Linked DNA regions of Caenorhabditis elegans. The protein of the gene in region 1 interacts with the protein of each later gene in a biochemical or structural test. Each region holds a gene or a part of one and is shown on either strand. Other genes may lie near its edges. The genes, in order: goa-1, ags-3, rgs-7 and rgs-1.

Evidence for each region.
Region 2: the proteins of goa-1 (region 1) and ags-3 form a complex in vitro, tested with the Caenorhabditis elegans proteins (one study listed by BioGRID).
Region 3: of the proteins of goa-1 (region 1) and rgs-7, one has a biochemical effect on the other in vitro, tested with the Caenorhabditis elegans proteins (2 studies listed by BioGRID).
Region 4: of the proteins of goa-1 (region 1) and rgs-1, one has a biochemical effect on the other in vitro, tested with the Caenorhabditis elegans proteins (one study listed by BioGRID).

The regions. Positions count from the first base shown.
Region 1 is NC_003279.8:7,520,565-7,527,263, reverse strand, and holds goa-1 (Guanine nucleotide-binding protein G(o) subunit alpha), read right to left. Parts: upstream 5,149-6,699; 5' UTR 5,055-5,148; coding exon 4,894-5,054; intron 4,594-4,893; coding exon 4,452-4,593; intron 3,233-4,451; coding exon 3,072-3,232; intron 2,868-3,071; coding exon 2,739-2,867; intron 2,691-2,738; coding exon 2,561-2,690; intron 2,226-2,560; coding exon 2,072-2,225; intron 2,020-2,071; coding exon 1,946-2,019; intron 1,523-1,945; coding exon 1,409-1,522; 3' UTR 552-1,408; downstream 1-551. UniProt on the Caenorhabditis elegans protein: Guanine nucleotide-binding proteins (G proteins) are involved as modulators or transducers in various transmembrane signaling systems. In the 1-cell embryo, probably together with gpa-16, controls nuclear rotation and spindle elongation during mitosis.
Region 2 is NC_003284.9:5,300,601-5,305,246, reverse strand, and holds the start of ags-3 (Tetratricopeptide repeat protein 28), read left to right. Parts: upstream 1-1,646; 5' UTR 1,647-1,668; coding exon of another isoform or gene 1,669-1,740; 5' UTR 1,741-1,773; intron 1,774-2,575; coding exon of another isoform or gene 2,576-2,655; intron 2,656-3,456; exon of another isoform or gene 3,457-3,477; intron 3,478-3,484; coding exon of another isoform or gene 3,485-3,628; intron 3,629-3,686; coding exon of another isoform or gene 3,687-3,791; intron 3,792-4,028; coding exon of another isoform or gene 4,029-4,113; intron 4,114-4,646. Other genes in the region: ift-81 (Intraflagellar transport protein 81 homolog), read right to left, coding at 202-294, 1,123-1,272, 1,316-1,406, 1,669-1,740, 2,576-2,655, 3,485-3,628, 3,687-3,791, 4,029-4,113.
Region 3 is NC_003284.9:3,540,769-3,545,598, forward strand, and holds the start of rgs-7 (C2 domain-containing protein), read left to right. Parts: upstream 1-1,779; 5' UTR 1,780-1,862; coding exon 1,863-1,905; intron 1,906-1,983; coding exon 1,984-2,098; intron 2,099-4,637; exon of another isoform or gene 4,638-4,672; coding exon of another isoform or gene 4,673-4,719; intron 4,720-4,787; coding exon 4,788-4,830. UniProt on the Caenorhabditis elegans protein: Inhibits signal transduction by increasing the GTPase activity of G protein alpha subunit egl-30 (G-alpha(q)), thereby driving it into its inactive GDP-bound form.
Region 4 is NC_003281.10:10,014,091-10,018,300, reverse strand, and holds rgs-1 (RGS domain-containing protein), read left to right. Parts: upstream 1-1,766; coding exon 1,767-2,268; intron 2,269-2,317; coding exon 2,318-2,415; intron 2,416-3,184; coding exon of another isoform or gene 3,185-3,190; exon of another isoform or gene 3,191-3,228; intron 3,229-3,278; exon of another isoform or gene 3,279-3,338; intron 3,339-3,564; coding exon 3,565-3,708; downstream 3,709-4,210. UniProt on the Caenorhabditis elegans protein: Inhibits G protein signaling in nervous system, interacting preferentially with the G(O) subfamily member goa-1. In vitro, protein acts as a GTPase activator of goa-1.

The DNA.
Region 1 (6,699 bases):
AGGAAAGTGTATGAGATATTCTCTTTTTTTTGGCAAATGAACAGAAAAAGTGAAAGTTTATCACATAGTGGGAGGAGGAGGGAAAAGCTGATGGAAAATGAACACAATTGTGTGACAAAAAGGACACATTTTTAGATGATTGTTGTAAAATTTAATGAAACTTGACATTTGGAAGGTTTTTCGCTTTAGTAACACTCACTTCCGGGTCATTTATCTTGAGAAAATCATTATCTGAAGACTATTTTTGGGGTTTCCCACTTTTGATGTTATAACAATAGGTTTTGATTTTTTTAAATCTTGGTAATGATGGGGAAATTGTTTTAAACCATGCTAATAATTCAAAATAACAATTAAATTTTAAATTCGCGCGCGAGGTTTAAACTTCTTGGTGGTTATTCAAAAAGGAGTTCAGGGAAATTTAAATTTTATCGAGTTTTAAAAATATTGGTTTTTTATCTAGACATATGTACGGTAGTCCCATATGCAATTTCCCATGCAAACTAAATCACTGTACTTTTGTATCCACCAAACTGAATTTGTACGAAAACTAGTTGAGGATGTCGTTTATATCAAATAAGATATCAATGAGTGGGTGCAGTCGACAATAAACCAATGCGGAAAATATCGTCTACTGCACACCATCGTGCTCACCGACAAAAAGCGAGACGATTTTAAAGAAAAAAGATGGAAAAATGAAAAAGTAAAAGAAAAAATAGGGAGAGGAAAACAGCGAGAAAAATGAGTTTGGAAGTGTGGTTTTAGGAAAAGGAGGGAAAATGGATGAGAGGGGAAGAGTAGAAATAGAAAAATACCAAAAATTAAAAATAAAATCTTTAAACATAGACAAAAGCTGCCATTATTTAACTGTTAACAGTGACTAGGTGTGTTGAAAAATGGGAGAAAAGAAAGAAAAAAGGGGCAAAGCTTTATAATTCGGGGTGAAGAGACCTTTAGGGGGTGTGTGGCGGAACGGGACGAATTCCAACTGAATTTAGATTTTTAAAGTTTTCTTGTTTTCAAATAGCGATAAGGCTACACGGGAGTGAGAAGGGCGGGGGATGTGGCGTGAATAATGACAATATATAATAAATAAGAAAAAAGGAAAAAATAAATAATTGTGAGTTTTATGTGTTATTTTTGTGACAGAAAAATTAGGGATCCTAGTTGAGAAAAAGAAGGGCGGTGAGACTATTATGAATGAATCAGAGGTTAAAAAAAAGCCCATATACATCTGAAATTGCAACTTTTTCCAAAAAATAAAAACAGTTGCAACCATAATGTACATGTAAAGCTCTCAAATTATAGATGCATACTCGGGGGATGAGAAAAATAACGAATCTTTAAAAATTTGGGAAAAGTAAGCAAAGATACACACAGAATGGTAGAAGAGGGCGGCGAAGACGACAGCTTAATACAAGCCGCATCCACGAAGATTATTGGCAATAATCACATCGGTGACAGCGTCAAACACAAATTGAATGTTAGTTGTGTCTGTGGCACATGTCATGTGGCAATAGATTTCCTGCAAATAAGAATATTATTTCAAAAGAAAACAAATTAAATGAAATAATGAATTAAAATTATTACCTCAACACTCAACTTTAACTACCTATTCAAATATGAAACTACAGTAACCGCAATATCGGAGAAAATGTCGAGATAGTAAAAATCTCAAATTTTGGTTGTAATTACTTAATTGAATACGATTCAGAGATTTTTCTGGTTATCATTTTCTGTGACAGATTAACAAAACAATTGAATATTCGTGTTTACTTAAAAAAAATTAAATTTTATAAATGTTTCACACTTCAAAAAATTTCCAAAATTAACTAGATATTAAAAATTATAAAAAATATTATTCTAGAAAAACAATTTATACTTTTCGTGGAACAGGAACCCCATAGGCTTCTCTGATTTCATTGATTTTTAGACTTTTTTTTCTTACCTTATTCGCTGATTTGTTTTTAGCCTCAAATTGTGCTTGAATATACGCAGATGCCTCGTGGTAGTCTTGTCGTCCTACAGGGATTAAGAAATTAAAACATTTATTGGAAATTCAATTAAATTTTACCTGAATATTCTGGGAAGCAGATCGTTAACGGGCTTTTCTTGATTTTCTCTTCAAACAGATCCTTCTTGTTCAGGAACAGAATAATCGATGTATCTGTGAACCATTTGTTATTACAGATCGAATCGAACAGCTTCAGCGATTCGTGCATTCGGTTCTGAAAATATGAAATAAGGAACAATAATGAATAATAATGAATAATGAATAATAGAATGAATAATAGAATATAATTTAAAAAAACGAGTAATTTTTAAATTATCATGTTTCTTTTATTTTGGCAAATATATTGTCGGTCAGAAGTTGCATTTTCGTTAGAAAAATTAGAAGAAGAACATTATTTTTATTATTGTAAAAGTCGACTCGAACGACCAAGTCATGATTGGAAAATCGTTTAAAAAACATAAAGTCTCTAAACGATATTTTCTAATTTTAAATTTTGTCTGTCTTTTTCAACAAAAAAGCTTCTAAAATATTAAAATATCAATTTCTCACTGTTGTCTCATCTTCGTGCAACACTTGATCATACTCTGACATGGCAACACAGAAAATAATAGCAGTAACATCTTCGAAACAATGAATCCACTTCTTCCTTTCTGATCTTTGACCTCCCACATCGAACAATCTGTAAATATTCATTATTAAATATTATTTTTTTATCAAGAAAACTCACTTGAAATTGAGATTTTTGAATGTGAAGTGAACTTCAACAATACCAGTTGTTTTGACACGAGTTCGGAGAATATCTTGCTCAGTTGGTTGATATATTGCCTCTCCTAACCTTTCCAGGTCGTCAAGGAAACTGAAAAAATGGTTATTAATAAATTCTATAAACTGCGAAATTTCTTGAAATTTTAAATTTGGTAATATTGAAAATGAGCTTGACATGTAACATATTGATTCGAAATTTAGGAAACTCTTCTCAATTTATGAAAAAAACCACTTTGGTTGTTATGGAGATAATAGTTACTTGAAATAATTTTTCAAAATTTTGAATTAAACTTACTATTTGGCTGAATCATTCAATTGATACTCGTTACTCCTTGAGAAACAATCCTGTACACCTGCGTCTCCCCACAACCGTTTCATTGAACTGAGCAATTCTTCTGAGAATGGCTCTGTGTCCTCCATTCGTGCCACCACATCCATCACTAATTTTGCATCTACCTGAAACAAAAAACTTTGATTTTAGTTCTCGATAACTTTATTCGCTGATGAAAATTGAATAATTCACAGCATGTCATGTACATCATTTTCCCAATTTTCTCACAAAATTGAAATTGGATCCTTGGCTCTCTTCCAATGGTTTGTCCAAAGGTCTCAAAATGGTCATTTTATTTCAATTATCTCAAATTACTTTATATTCGGTGACATGCATAGTCACGTCTTGTTAAGATTAAGGATATATATAAAATTGAATGATAAATGTTCGATCTTCACATCAAAAACTTTTTTACGTTTTCGACACGACAAATTTTTGTTGAATGCTAAAATATGTTTATATTTATTCTTACGATTTGTTAAAGTTAATTCGTAAATATTTGATTGTTATTTATTAATTTTTAAAATAAATGAATACGTTTTTATTGAATAACTATGAAAAATCGATTAAAAATTTGGCTGCAACGAAAATTAAACATTACAGTACTCTTTAAAGGCGCACACCTTCTTGCATTGAACACAAATTCATCGTATAAAAACCGGGAATTGCATTTGTGACGCAATAACAAAACATTTGACGTCTGAATGATGTAAAATCTTCTCCAAAACGTTGGGAACATTTTTTTCTGATGATTTGCCACATCAATCGAAAATGTGTTCCCAAAGATTTTCCAACATTCTAGAATCCCTTCCAAATCCCAATTCAAAATTCCTGCCTCGAACATATATTTTTGGAATACTAGGTCGAGTCTACGAGTTTGTCGGTGGCGCGTCGCGCATCGAAACTCACAAGGGAATTGGAATGGGACGGTGGTGTGGTAGCGGGATGCATTGAGTGCAACGAGAGGCAATAAGAGTTGCAGAATGTAAGAGAGAGAGAGAGAAAAAGATACCGAGCCAATGAATACAACAGATTATGTCATTTATTCTCATGCTCTTCGTTTTTCGTATCTTTTTATTCGTTATTTTCCAAATATTTCGAATTACTCTTCAGAACACGGGAAACATTTTTAATTGAATAATGTTTATGTTCTATCTATAGATCACAATCGCAAGTAAATTTCAGAAAAATAAGTTTTATTTTGAAGTAACGTTTTTGTCGTGCTAATCATTAGCAGCTAATGGACCGAAATTAATTTTTTCCATTAAGGGATCACTTGAAAATTTCGTGCCTCATTTTTAAATAATTTCGATTTTTTTGCAGAAAAATTGTCATAATACTCACCTCTCTGTCAGCCGAACCAAATGAAACGCCTAAGTTGCTCATGGCTCGCAAAATAGCGACCAATGATTGAACCGTGTTACTGTAGACAACCGGCTTGTACTGTTTGTAGTCTTCTGCTGTGAATCCCGATTCGTGAATAATTCTGAAAAAAAAACATTAAAATGTGAAAATTTGTAAAGGCGTGTTTCAAATTTAAACTATTAGAGAGTTGAACTTACTTTTCAAATTTTGAATACGAAAAAAAAATTAATAGCAGTCTCTAGTGATTTATTTACTTTTTAATTAAATTTAATTTTTAATAATTCAAATCGATCAAACGAAATATTCGGACGTTCTATGGGACAATTTCGGATGATAAATTCTGAGTTTTTCACCATTTATTTCTACCATTTTCGTTTATATATGTTTTAATTTGTTATTTAGAAATTTAAAAAAATCTCACTTCATCTGTTTTACAATAGTCGATTTTCCTGATTCTCCTGCACCAAGTAGCAGCAGTTTGATATCTTTTGCCGCTTGCATGCCGTCTTCTTTAAGATTTTTCTCAATCATTCGTGATCTTTCAAGAGCGGCACGCTCTTCCTGTGACATGGTACAACCCATGGCGCTAGAGTTGATGAACGGTGGACCCTATGCCCCGGTAGCGGTCTCCACTTGATATCCTCTACTCACTCACTGTATGTGGTGCAGCTCAGCGCTGAAAATAAATTGAAAAAATTAGAATCGAAGTAAGTTATAGCGGGTTAAAAAATAAGGAAAAGAAAAAGCAATCGAGCGAAAAAAAGGGACACAGTGAGATGGAGAATGAAGAAATGGATGGATGAGGGATCGAGGGCAGAATATAGATGAGATGAGAGGAGATGACAAAAATGACGAATGAGGAAAATAGAGGGTGCACGTCGTCAAGGCGACTAATTTTTATTGAATTTTCTTACTTTTTCATTAATTTATTTTAGTGGTAGAAATATGCAACCTACAATACTCTAAACAGGGCCTTTCTAATTTTTGCGCAAACATTTTTTCAAATCAGACGTTCTCTCAGATTTCTTTGGAGCAGCGTCAGTGGGGAAATTGTTAAAACGTTTGCATGTTCGAATCCCTGCAATGTTTGAGTACTAAATTCGAAGGTGAAATTTTTCTTGATCTACGACAGAAAAATGTACTAACTGTTAAACTTGCAGATGAACTAAATTAGTTATATTTCAAGAATGATCAGAGATTGTTCATTCAGTTTTCTATTTTAGAATCAATTGGTTTAATCTGAAATCGAAATGAAAATCAGCTAATCGAGGATAAACATGTTTTGCAAAATCAACCAAAAAGAAATTTTACTACATGCTTCCGGCCGGGTCAACGTTCTCCACAAAAAGGTTAGAAAATAGATAATTTGTAAAGAACAGAAGCAAAAAAATAGACGACAACGTCTTCGATTTTTCCGTTTTCACTGCTTCTGCTTCTTCTCTTTCTTCGTTGTCGTCGTCGTCCTTCTTTTTCTTTTTTTTTTGCGTGGCGCAAAAAAATGGGGGAGCAACTGCGACGACGACGGCGAGCAGGATGGTGGGGTTGGAGAAGGAAAATAGAGAGAAAAGCGAGGGCGAGGAGAAGAAGAAGGTCATGGGCATAGCAGAAAAGGGGTAGTAGTAGCCAGGGGCAGCCAGTAGCCGAAACAGGAGAGCCCCATCGTTCAGGGGGCAGCGACAGTGAAGACGAGGGTCGGCGGCTACTTGCGTTGCGTGTCGATTCGAATTTTAAATCATGATGAGGATCAGAACCATGCAGATATTCTAGTAGTCGGAGTTATCTGATCACAGGCGGCGTTTGAGTTAAAATCTTAAAATATTGCATAAAAACTTAAATTGTCTGACAGCCTTAATAGCGACTTTATGATGCCGAAAACTACTATTTAAAATTTAAGTTTCAATCGACGAACAGCGCCGTAGACTAGGTCTCCGTGAACCAAAAGCTATAGGAACATAAAGCCTTTTTCCATGTGCCTAATTGTTTTATTTTCATAATAAATGCATAGACAGCACTGGCAGCGATACACAAGGAGACATGTTGAGTGCCGTACACCGGAGACCACAGCTGGACCCTCTTACAGATTTTCCAGTCGAAGAACGGAGACGAGGGGACACGAATAATAAACAATGAGTGAAAGTATGAAAGGGAAAATCAAGAAAAGATAAAAATAGTGGATTACGCAGAAATAAAACCTTAACTTGAAATATTTTACTATTAGTTTGGAATT
Region 2 (4,646 bases), on another chromosome or scaffold:
TGAAACTTTACAACTATCGTTCGACTTTTTCTTTTGAATCTAAACTTTTGCATGTTCTCTTATTCTCCAAACTCACTTTGAAAACTTTGATGTCTCAGTCAATTACATAAAAAATAAAAATAGTACCTTAGAGACATTTTTGGATTAAAGTTGAACCAAGAGTTTAGTCAGTTTCTTCAAAAAAAAACCCCCCTATCTTACCTCTGCATTATTTGTTTGCGGAGCTGCAGTTTTCGGACGATCGTATTTCGTTGGAACATTCAAAACTTCTACTATTTCTCCGCCAATACTTTCCTGGAAATAAGATTAGATAGACACATAAACCACAGAAATCTTGCAAAATCGGGAACGCAGGATAAAAATAATTTGGATTAGTAAACTTTGAAATATGATATTAAACTGTTACATGTTTTGTCTGTTGAAATAGGAGAGGTGTGTCAATTTCGTGTAGCAAAGTAGTTTAGAAAAAGGTGTGAGTAAATACATATGACACACGTTTTTTCTGCTTTGATCCTACCACTTGATCTTGCTGGAAGTAGTTTGCAAAAAAGTGAATTACTGTTTATTCTCTCTGCAACAATGGTGAAAAAAATGATTCGCGGAGCTTGGTCGAATTTGTTCTCTGATTCCAGGAGGTATAGGAAAGTAATTAAAATTATAAGTTCAAATTTTATGCAGTTAACGTATTTAATAAATTAAAAATGGTGATTATTTCTATCAGTATCGTTAAGCGTTTGTAAATATGTTACCATACGCAGCACTGTAGAAAATCATCACAGTTTCGGCAATTCTAATTTTTGACAATCAGCATTTTTAATCAAAAAATGCTTGGCAATCGACAATTGGGTAATATCAAACAGCGATTGCCGTAACTACAAATACATTTGAATGAAATTTTGCTATTATAATTCAGTGAGAGATTACATAAACTGCCATATGTTAGCAGAGGTATCTGATACATTTAAAAGTTTGATGTTGATAATGCACAAATAGTTTTTTTTTCATTATTAAACAGCTATCTGGAAAAAGATCACTAAAAACTTCAAGAATTCCAAAATATATTTTTGCCGTTTCGCGTTTTTTTTTCTATTCAACATTCAACTCAACAATCACGCAACTCACAATGTGCGTTTCCAATTTATTGTATCTTTTGGAAACAATGTCAATTGTTCTTTTAAGCACTGCCACCTCGGTATGCATCAACTCAATTTCCTTCCTTTTCTTTTTTTGTTCTTCACTTTTCACACGGTATTGCTCTAAATATTTTCGGTACTGAAAAAATAGTATTATACTGTTACAAATTATTTCGCCTCACCTGAACATTTGACACAACTTCCCCGCCCACTTTGTCTTTGAGATTGGTTTTACGCTCATCGACATCTTTCTCAATTTTCGCAAGTTCTTGCCTGAAAGTCACGTCCATTTGGTCGCAAATACGGTAGCTTCTAATTTCCTCAACTCTTGCAGTTTTTTGCAAACTTTCTAAGAATAAAGTGGTTTCGCTAATCTTTTTTTTGAGGAAATTGAGAAATGGGGTCAATCAAATGTTGAAATCCCATCACTTTTCTCGCTTTTTCCCATTTTCAATTTCCTACTCCCAGTGGAATAAATAGGACGTTTTGGAAAAAAAAAGCCGAAAAGAGAAGAAGCCCATCTACACTCACTTACCTCAATTCTTGCAATTTCTGCACCGCTGTTTCTTTTTTGCGTTCGAGAAGGGAAGTTTGATGACGAAACACACTGAAAACACCTCATATGTTTTTTTGAAAAAAGGTCAGTTTTGGGAAAATATAAAAAAAGATATTCTAATGTTTTACGTATAGGAAAAATACGATAAACGCAATTTCACAAGTTTTAAGTTCATCACCTGGTTTTGCTTGAAATGCTCTAGAAATGCCGAGTTAAAAAAAAACAAGTGACAAAAAACTAGGAAGTTAAATACCTTGGATCTATATTGAGCGTATTAAAGAGGGATTACCGTCAGTGGGTATTTGTTTAAACATTACCCAAATAAATTTAAAATTACCAAATATCATAGTGGAAGTATTCTAAAAAGGACAATTTTCCGAGCAGTCAAAAAATGGTAAAAACTCCGTCCTAATAATGAAAGTCAACAAAAATTTGTTCCACAGTTTTCAAATTTTAGTTATAATTCAGAAAATTTTTAAAAATCTTTTTTTTAGTTTTGAGAGTATTATGCTCATATTCGGTCATGTTAATTATGTGTCTTAAGACGAAATCCGCAATAAAGATACACTACTTTCATTATTTTTAATAATGATAAAAAAATTTAAAGTTTTTTGTCGAAGCATCCCTTACAAATTCATTTTCTTTTCTAAATAAATATCTAACACTCATAGAAGAATACGCAGATTGTGTCTCTTAGCAGCAACCATCATCATCCACATGTTTTTAAACCGAGTGATGCCACTGTCCGCTTTTAGATTTGCCTTTCCTTGTTCATTAGCAACCAGACCAGATTTCATATTTTTTGCACAAAGAACACAACAACAAATTTGAAATTTTCAGCAAGCACAATTTTAAAACATCTAGACCAAAATGAGCATGCACTTACCTCATGTTCTCATCAATATCCACTTCTTTGTGATCCCGTTCGTCTTCTAGTTTTCGAATTCGTTTTGACATTTCCTCTATCTGAATGATGAATTTAAAAATAACTCTTTCATGCTTTGATCAGCCATGTTTAAGATGACTTGGGAGTAAACAATTAACATATTTTTGGTCAGACGAAAATTGGAAAATTTTTTCGTCTCTCTGACGTCTGAAGCCATTGTTTCGCTCTTTGGCTCTGTTATTTGTTTTTGCCCACGTTTGAAAAAAGCTTTTGAATAGCTTTTAACTCTTAAAACATACAACTTTTTTCTGTAATTACATCATTTAATTTTGTAATCACCTTGGAAATAAGTGAAAAGTGCAGCCACGTTTAAGCTGGGCGACAATTTTATTTTGGATGTTTTTTTTTGTTAAATTTGGTATACATTTTCAAAAATAGCAAAATCATTCTAGCAGTTTTTTAACATCAATGTAGTTTTTATTCCCGCTAATTTTTGTTTACAAAAAATTTGAATTTCCTATCAAAATTTTTTTCAGAAAAACTTTATTGCCAAGTTTGTTTTCCTAGAAAATTTGAAAATCCCACAGAAAAAAATTCCCGAGAAAATTTTAATTTCCGCGAAAAAATTTTTCGGAATACTTAAATTTTTCGCCAAATTTTTTTCCCAGAAAATTTGAAGTTCCCGCTAAAACTTTTAATTTTCGCTAACAACTTGCTTTCGAAATTTTGTATTTCGGGCAACGTATCTGTGTAGTAGCCGTGCTCCAATAGCATTAATTCCTTTTTTAATGGTAATTTAATTAAAACGTGAGGTCAGTGTTGCATATATACTGTCGGCTGCACATTTATCATAAAATTCCCCAAAGTTAAATCTGCAGAGATCTTTAAGCCTGGTATCTTTAAGCTTACCTCAGAATTCATTCTACTGACATCCTCTTCCCGCACTGAATTGGACCTTGCCATGGCTGTCAGCTCTTTCAACTTGTTTTCCTTTGATTCAATTTCTTGAAACAACTTGCCATTCACTAAGTAAGTGTTCGTCGCAACTTCGTCCTAAGAAACCCTCTGTCGTCATTAGATAGGAGAAGACGAGAAAAATAAGTCTAGTAACCTCTAATTTTTCCATTAACGCCTGTTCATCCAATGTGTCAGCGACCGCTTGAGCCTCCGTCAAATTGATTTTCATTCGGTTGATTCTGGCTTCGATGTTCAGGACCTAAACAGAAAAGAATTTCTGATTTTTGATGCTCGCTGCGCCAAAAAAACGCAGTAAGAAGGAAGAAGCCGCACACTCGAGAACAAAAAAATTGCACTCGCTATTTCTGTACTTCTTCTTTCATTTTTTGTCAGGAGAGCAAAAAAAAATTACGTCGGAGATAAAGAAAAAGGAAAATATTTCACTCGGTCTATTTTTGATTTTGAGATAAAAAAATGGAATTCCCAAAGAACCAACCTTCTGCCGTTCTTGTTGTTTTTCAATTGCAAAATCTGCATATCGGGTTTTCTCTCCGCGTAATTGTAATGCAAGTTGCATTTGTCTGAAAACGATTGGCTATTTTGAAAAATGCCAAAATTTATGTTTTATTTTTATACTAAATTCATTTTATTTTATTTTTTATTTTTATAATTTACGCTAAAGAACTCCCTTACTTACGTTTATATGAAAAACGGACAATTTTCCGCAAATTTCTATCTGCACTTGCATAGCGCTCGTTATTTAGCAAAAAGCTTGTAAATTTATTGTTTTCTACTTAATTATGATTGAAGCAGACTTTATCGTACTTGTAGTAAAAATATGAGCCTTATATTCAATTTTTTTGACAATGAGTCAAACCAGAGCTTAAAAGCAATACCGATACAGGCCAAAAGCTTTGCTCAAAAATTGCTTTAAAAATATATTAGCAATGTAAATGTGTTAGAAACTAACAAGAATGATCGGAAATATCCATCTTATCAGCTTATAAAGTTTACAGCTCTAAAGTTTCAAGTGAGCTGTTTTTTTACCTTCAATGTTTTGAAATATGTAAAATCAGGCAAAATACAAATTTCAAAAAAAAATCAAAAAAAATAA
Region 3 (4,830 bases), on another chromosome or scaffold:
CAATTATCCATATCATGTCACTAGGCCACATCCCCTTTCTTGATTTTCAATTTGTTTTTTTTTTCAATAATGCTCATCGTAGCTTAGTTGCCTGAACAGTCTTTCATTTGTCTTAAATTTGACTGATGGTGTCAGACAATTGAAGAAGTATCAATAAAGTTGAATCAACAGTAAAGGAAAGTCTCCAAGCTATTTGCCAAGGCCATAAATATCGCGTCCGCGATCGTGGGTCACGATGGCAGGTGTTGAGGGGGGAAAGACGCACATACACACATACAAACGCTAAATGGGTCCCCTCTCCTCAATTGCCGGTCAGAGGAGACAGCCAGGAAAGAAGGAAGACACAGACGAACACTCGCCGTTCTGTGTCTCTTCTCTCTACTCACGTTTGAATTGTTCACCGGCGGGAACGCTCATCATTCAAATTTGAAAAGCTATTTTATCTAATTTCTTAGCTTTTCAAGGTTTCAAACTAGTTTTTTCGTATGTAATTTTGTTCGTTATAAAATTGACCTCATCTGCAAGTGAGTCACTAGTAAAATTTACTTATCATTAAGGTGTGTTTATTTACGGACTATTGATTTTCCATAATTGGATTTCCGTCATCTGATCAAGGCCAGAAAAACTAGTAATCGAGAGTTGAAAACTTATTAGTCACGTTTCACTGGGTGTCTAGGTTAGGGAATGCGCTAAACAAGTAGTTCTGTAGAACGTTATCTGGCACAGTATTAATCACATATTATCTACAAGTAAAAAACATAATGGTTCCTTATCAGTAAGCCTAGACAATTAGATTATCATACAAAATTACTTATATTCCGTCTGCAAAGTTCTGCGTTTTTCCCAACCACTAAATCACCAAAAAATCTAAAACTTTCGGCCATATTTTTCATTGAAACCATCTGGCAGTGAGTCGAATGTTATAAGTTCAGTCTTTTTTTTTCTATTTTTTCTGTCTCTAAGAATGTAAACTCTAGATGTTGTCAGTAAAGATTTTATGGTTTCGATTTGTAACCTAAATATTACGCAACCACCTATCGACACCGACAAACGGAGTAGCGGTTGTTCGCACCATAAATTTTGTCAACTACTCCTTGTAACTTCCTTTCCTTCACCTTCACTTGTATTTGATCTCATAAACTTGCGGGTCATTTGCTATTTAGTTCTGCCTTACTACATGGATTTCTTTCGGAAATGGTTTTTTGTTCCGGATATTTTTTGTTTCATTAAAAGAGTACATTCGATTTTATAATATTTTTTAAAACTAGAAAACAATTTATTGTTCTGAATTTCAAAAAAAGCTATGATTTCCTGACTAAAATCTTGGGGCTTTTCGAAGTTTTCTCTTTTCCAACGGCTGGTAAATTTATTTAAAATTAATTTGGTTATCCATATTTTGCACTTTCTCGTAATTAATTCTTTTTTCTGTTAAAGGCCATACATTTTGATAAATTTAACTCAACTTTTTTTAAAGACGGTACTTTTCTATTAAGTTTTTTATAGCTAACTTCATTTGAAATCTACAAAATTGAAGTATTATAGTTCTTAGTGTTTTAGAATAAATTGTTTGTTTTTATTCTTTTTCGGAACAAGTAAAATTTCCTCATACATAAAATAGTGTTTCAGTCAATCAATAACATAAGATGGATTAGTTTCTATGCTGAGCCGTATAACCCTAGCCTAAAATGACACAACGTTTTCTCCTTCGTTGCCGTTTATGAATCATTTTTCTCTCTCAATTCTCCTTCTATTGCTGTTCCAATTAGTATAGTTTCACTCAGATGGAAAGTCAAAATCGAAGAATCAAGCTCAATCTACACAAATATAAAACGGCCGGAGTCCAGCAGTACAGCATTGACAAGATGTCAGACGAGGATGCAGACGAGTATGACGATCAATCATCGAGTAAGTTGCTTTGTTGCAAACCTGAATGCTCCAGATGTTTGCTATTGTTATTATGACTATATATCTGATTTTTTCCAGTATCGTCAGTGTCGGACGACGACGACTTCTCAGGCTCCGAGTCGGAAAGCTATCAGGACACGACTGAATCCACTGGACCTTCGGAAGCTACAACTGACGAGATGCTGTGGGGAAGGTGAGTTCTTTTAAATGTTTTCAAAAGTTGATATTAGATACTTTTGAAAAAATGTGCTGAAAATTATAAAACGTATTTTAAAATCACGAGAGAAAAGTTTCAAAAAACGTGACAAGTTTGCTATCCTAAAAATTTTCTCAAACGAATTTCGAATACGTTTCACAAATTTCCGCACAATTGGTTTCTGTCACTTTTCAGAACTATTTTATTTATTTTTCGCTTGATAGGTTTTTGCTTCATAGTTCAGTATACTGTTGCTTTGCCCGGATCCCAGTTCATATTTGGTCGTTCTCAGAAAGTGTATTTTTTGAGTAATTTTTTAATTTCCCTTTTAAATCTAAAATTCCTCGAAATCGAAAACTACCAAAACTAATAGACCATAGAAGATTCTTTTCAAATTTTCATCCTCTGAAATTTTTATTTAATTCATCAATTTTAAAAGTTGCATTAGTACAAGTTTGATTAGTCCAATTGCTGATTTTTTCCTAATGGGAGACAGTTCAATTAAATGCGCTCTATTGTACACCTCGGTTCAAACAAACGAGGCATGTATGTGTTGACCATGCACACTACATACTGGTTAGCCTCTGGTGTACGAACGAACGCATTGCCCCATCCCAGTCGGCTGCTCTGTTACGCTGACCGTAAAATACTAGAGTTAGAAAGGAAGAAAGAAAGGACAATAGTGATTTGACAATCCGAACATTCTCAATTATATCAAATCTGGTTCGAATGATCAAAAGAAGCAAAAATTAACAACATTGATTTTGTGAAGAATGTAGAAAGTACCCTTAGACACTTTTCTTCAAATATGCAAAAAAAAATTAAATTTTTGCGCCCAATAAGAACATTTATTTTCACATTTGAAATGACAGAAACGCGTAGTAGTATTTGAGTCGGTATCACTGACCTGATTCATCCACTTAAATGCCCATTTTCGTCGTCAAATGTTTGCTTAAAAATATCCGCGCCTTTTCAAGTGAATCAATTGAACTTCTCTCAAAGTTTTTCTTGTTTGGCGTGTATACAATGTCATGAACGCACAAGTTTTGGATTTCCGGCAATCGATCGATTGTTAAAGGCTACAATAGCATAGGTGATTATTAAACGAGTCCCTCTATAATTTCCACAAGATTTACGACAACCGTTCCGTTAATGTGACCAATCGAAGAAAACCAAAATATCCTGTATTTTCTGTAGACGTTTTATGATTTAGAGGTTTCTGTTTTAGTTTCTGTTCTTAACATTCTAATTGGTCACCGATATCTCTGTCATTTTCTGATACTATGAGTTTTGAATTTTTATACTAATAATTAAATGTTTCTAAAATTTCTCTTACAAAATTTTTACTTTGCCCATCCGACATTTCCCCAGTAATATGTATAGTTTTGAGTATGTTCGCATAATTGCAAATTACGTTGGATGTCGAGTTACCGTGGTTTGATTTTCAGTTGCGCAACGCCACGAATAGCCCTCTACCCCCGTGGCTGCTGGAACGTCAGGGGCACTAAAACTTGCGCAAAAACTTGTTGCGTATCACATTTGATGCTCTGCATTGATGTGTGTTATAATAATTTGTACATCATCATCACCAGATGACGCCTAGACTCGACGCTGCCTAGAGACTTCCAGGTTGATAAGCAAAACAGTGTTTTGTAGTGCTTAAAGTGAAAAACTACGTAACAATAATTCAGAATTTTGATAATCCGGCATATATATGTAACTTTAAAATGTTGTGAATAGTTTTATAACCAAACATCATAAATACTCTAAAACGTTCATAAAAATATCAAATTTTTTAGGGAAACGTTTTGCAGTTGGCCAACTTTTTTGAAATATTAAGGCCTTTTGAGCAATTCTGCATGTGCGAAACCTTAAACTATTGGAATATAATACAAATATTTCACAAAAACGCTCAGAGAACATTTGTATTTGCTAGGAGAAGTTGACAAATTTGTAATTGCCACATAATTTTTTTTTAAATTTACCTTGGTGTTTGATATTTTTCATACTATATAAGTAATTTTCAAAATTCCCTATTGAAGATTTTGCACTGGAAAATGTATTTCATGCTATTTCTTCTCAAATCAAATCTATTATAATATGCCGAGTGAAGAGAGCAACTATCTCAGTTACGCAAAAAGTCGTCTCAAATTCTCTCAAAGTTTATTTTTGAAACCACACACACTCACAAACCTTAATTGGAAAATAGCCTATTAAACATTATCCACCCATTAGTGTCCAATTGCACTTTCCTGTCTTTTCACCCCATCTCGTCACACGCTCTACCTTCCAGCTATAATCCCCCTACTGAAATTGACGGTTGTCAGCAGGATACTGTCCAAACAAAATTGTTTTCACTCCCTAATTAGCTCATCTTTTCTGTACTTAGCGAACACGTGTCATTTGCAATGTGCTGAGAATGTGCATTGATACTCTCTCCTCTCGTCTCTGTCATGCTCCTAACTCCGCCCCTTTAGAGCCATCCCAGAGTTTTGCCTTTGGGAACAGTTCTCGTTTGTATTTCTATCAATCTTACAACCGTTTTTCCTTCAGTAACTAATCCTGTTTATTATGACGTATACTGTAAGAACCAAAACCAAAGGTCTCGAAGCTCTGATGTGAGTTTACAATTCAAATTTTTTAAACCTACTACACAAATTTCTCTATCAATTTATATTTCTTGCAGAAGACGTGCTCCAGTCTGCGGAATCGCTGCACAAGCCGTTCGA
Region 4 (4,210 bases), on another chromosome or scaffold:
CACTATTTCCCACTATTTTCAAGAGTTTTCAAAACTATGTCATGACGTATATCGAATTACTCGCCCGATTTTGTCGAGCCACCAAGAGAGAGAGAGACTTAATCGAATTTGAACATTCGATTTCATGAATTTTCAACGTTTGTTATGAAGTCATATTTTGTTTTTTTCATAGAGTTGTGAATTAGATTAGAATGCTAGAAAGTGAAAAAAAAGTTATGTTGAGAATCAGAGCCAAATATATTTCAATTTCCTGTAAAAATACAATAACACTTCTCAGTACACTGCAAAATCCAACTTCGCCCATATGTTTAAACTGTTATTAGAAATATTTCTCATTCATAATGTAAGATTTGTTCAAGCTTATATTCATAGAAGCTTCCAGTTTACAAACTTCTGCTAAAATCTGGAAAATAGGGGCCTATACAGACTAAAAGCCTGGGCGGCAATTGGAAAAAAAATATCCGGCAAGTACCAAAATGATCGATTGCCAGATATTTTGGCATTTTTCAAAAACCGATCTGCTTTTAAAAAAAATATCAAAAAATAGTTCACTTTGTTTTTCAGTATTTGGAAAATGTTTTTTTTTAATCAAGAGGAAACCTTTGAAGTTTCATCCAGTTTGATTTCAAAATTCGTTTTTTTTTTCGGAGGCTTTTTCTGGGAGAGAGAAGTAAAATACAAAATTTGCTTTTTAATTATAAAGCATAATGTAACTTTGCGCACTGGTTCACCAAAAATTCATGCAAAAAGTACATTAAAAACGTACATAGAAGATTTCAGTTCAGTTATACATTAGAAATACTTATAGAAATACTTTCTCAAAAAGTGTGAACTTTTTGGAATCAAGTCTCAATACACCTACAATAGCCCAAAACGACCGTGTAAAGCAATCCAAAAATGTTAGGTTTTTCAAAATTTTGGCAACTTGCTAAACTTACCAAAAATTCACTTTTGAATGATTTTGAGACCACTTGAACGTTTAAATATGAACATAAAACGCGTAATTTTTTTTGACAATTTTAAAAAGTATAATATGTAGGTGAAAATTGCATTAGATCCTTAAATCCAAATTTTAAATTTTGAATTTAAAAAAGTTTTACTATGCTATTGCAAAACTTGAGCACTTTAGCAGAACCTTTAAACTAAAAATTGTAAGAACTGGAATTCAATTTGCAAGAAAATATGCTCAGAATCATTTTCAACTGTCTTTCGTGGCATAGCTATGCTCTCAATTTTCTAGAAATATTTCCCAATTGGTTCTCATTATCGACGTCTAATTACAAAACCTTGAAACCTTAAGACGCCTTTCCCCTCTTCATTGTCATTTGTTTGAAGCCGTCCTTCTCTTCTTTTTTCTTCCTTTTGTTCTCTTCTATGTCTGTGTGTGTGCTTTTACGTTGTTGCTCCTCGTGCGCACTCACACTCTCCTCACGAGTCCCCTCCACTCACACACATATTCATCTCTCTCTCTCTCTCTCACGTTTTCTCTTCCATCTCTCACCGTATTCCACATCGTCACGTCGCGACGTCGTCGTAGACGTCGACGTCTTATATATTTCTTCCTCTCCCTATTTCGAATCGATTCGCCTCTTCATCTCATCGTTGCTCTTGCTTCTTCCATTTCTTTTTTTTTTTAATTTTATTCATCTTCCTCTCATCCCCCCTATTTCATTTCGTTTCACTTTTCCCTTATACTTTCACCCCTTTCTTCTTTAAAAAAACCGAATTGTTCCTTGTTTCCGGCTGCGACGTGTTGCCGCCAGCCCATGGGATATATGGGTTGCTGGTGCTCAAATCTCGGACGAAAATACAGTGGAACTGTCTCCCCACAAAGATCCGTCCAACCAGAAGCTCTCAGCTACGAAATGGTATATTCATGGCAACAATCATTCGACACACTGATGAGCTTCAAGTCTGGCCAGAAATGTTTTGCCGAATTTTTAAAAAGTGAGTATTCGGATGAGAACATCTTATTTTGGCAAGCCTGTGAAGAGCTGAAACGGGAAAAGAATTCTGAAAAAATGGAAGAAAAAGCACGTATCATCTATGAAGATTTCATCTCAATATTATCACCAAAAGAAGTTTCACTGGATTCAAAAGTTCGAGAAATTGTCAACACTAACATGTCCCGTCCAACACAGAATACATTCGAAGATGCTCAACATCAAATCTATCAGCTGATGGCAAGAGACAGTTATCCAAGATTCCTTACCTCCATTTTCTACAGGGAAACTCTAGCTTCTTTTGGAATAACTGAAATGGATATTGGTAACGTTTTTTAATTGTTAAAAAAATTAAAATTAAAGAATAATTTCAGGAGGAGACGAAGAGAAGGAACGAGAGCAAAGAGCGGAACGTGCACGTTTGAATGTTCCAGCTACAGCTGCAGAAGGAAGTTCAAAGGATATTAGTATGGTGAGTTTATAAAATTGTTTAAAACTGCTAAAATGCCCAAAAACCATAATAAAACTTTTCAAAAATTTTTTTTTCAATTTACAGCCAAAAGTTGTGAAAACACGGTCTGTTGTCATAATTTTAGAATTCGACCGAAAAAAGTTATTTCCTACGAATTTGATACGTATATTAATTTTGTTACAATTATTTGCAGTTAAGTCGAAGCTGCAGCAGTGCTCTAAATTACTTGAAAAACTGACACATTTTTGAAATTCTTTGGCAATTCACCAAAACTTCTATGGAAATATTTAAAAAATCTAAAAGTGTTTGGAATGGTTTATCAGTTTTTATATTCAGTCATTTTGGACACTGGCGAATTAAAATCCAGCGAAATTATATACACAATTTTAATTATAGGGTTTTCATTTTGAAAAAAACTGATACTGTAGACTAACATTAGCTAAAAAAACGAAAAGATCCAATTGAAAACTTTTCAAATTTTCTAAAAACTTTTGTTTAAAAAAGTGGAGTACATCTACATATTTTAGAAATTTGGAAGAAAAGAGTTAGTAATATTTTTTAGCTTAAAATTTGATGTTATTACTTTTTAAAATTTTGGCAAGACCTAATGAGATCTACAAAATTCAAGTAATAATTTCCATTTTATATTTTCAAAAGGAGTACGGTAGTTAGAATCTTCTGTCTCAAGCGAAGGATGTAATTTCTCCGCGGAGCAATCATAAAATCAATTTCAATCTATTAAATCACGGCGACTTACATCTGATTTCAGGTATAAAAATCTTCCTGCATCTACCCTCAATTATACATTAAACGGTGAGTAGGGTTTTTCTGAAGATTTTTGATGATTTCGTTTTTTTTTTCAGATACTCCAAAGAATCTCTATCAGCAAAATAGCAGATTGGAAACATGTAGTTATAAAAAAGGTATCAAATTGATTGAAAATATGTAAACGATTTTTTAAATATTCAGATCAGTGCAGCTTTAATTTTTTTTTTAAATCAAATTCATATGTGTAACTAATATGCAAAAGTACTTGTTTCTCCAAAAAAAACAAAAGTAAAAGTAAAAAGCAAACGGACAACTGAAAAATTGAAATGTTAGATTTTCAGTTTTTAGGGGGAAAATAGGCTTTTAAAAAAGTATTTTCAGATTTCTACCGCCGTAATAGCAGTTCAATATTTTATGCAAAAATTTATCCAAATCGCCAGAACTTCTTCCTCCAACTCATTCAATTCAACTTGTGATAAACTAACTTTGATCTCCGATGCTGCTTATTGCATTTGCCAATCTTAGATCTATTTTGATCAGTGTCATTCATTTTATGATTTGCAATTTCAGAGACTTTTTCTCTTATCCTACTATATTCTCAATCATCATCTGAACCTTTGTGATATTACTTTCAAGACATTCTATTTTTTCTTCTTTAATTCTCTGTTCAAATCAACACCCACCACATCCCTTTCACCCCCGTGACCATTCTTTTGTGAAATTGTCTTGAAATCTAGATGTCGGCTAGAGAAGGCATCTGTTATTTGTACTTTATCTTCCAGCCACTCAACATTTCTTCCGATCAAACCTATGTTTAAATTGTTCCCCCCATCATTGTCTCTTCTCTCCTTTCACTCGAATATATTGAACTTTTTTCTCGTAGATTTATTTCCGAGGGATATGTCGCTGTATAAACTGGTTTTTTTAAAACAATTTTCAACTTTTCTAGATTTGAAATTATTTATAGAATGGTTGGAGACAATAGTGTATGCGACTTTTATGTTAAAAAACCGGTATCTATATGTAC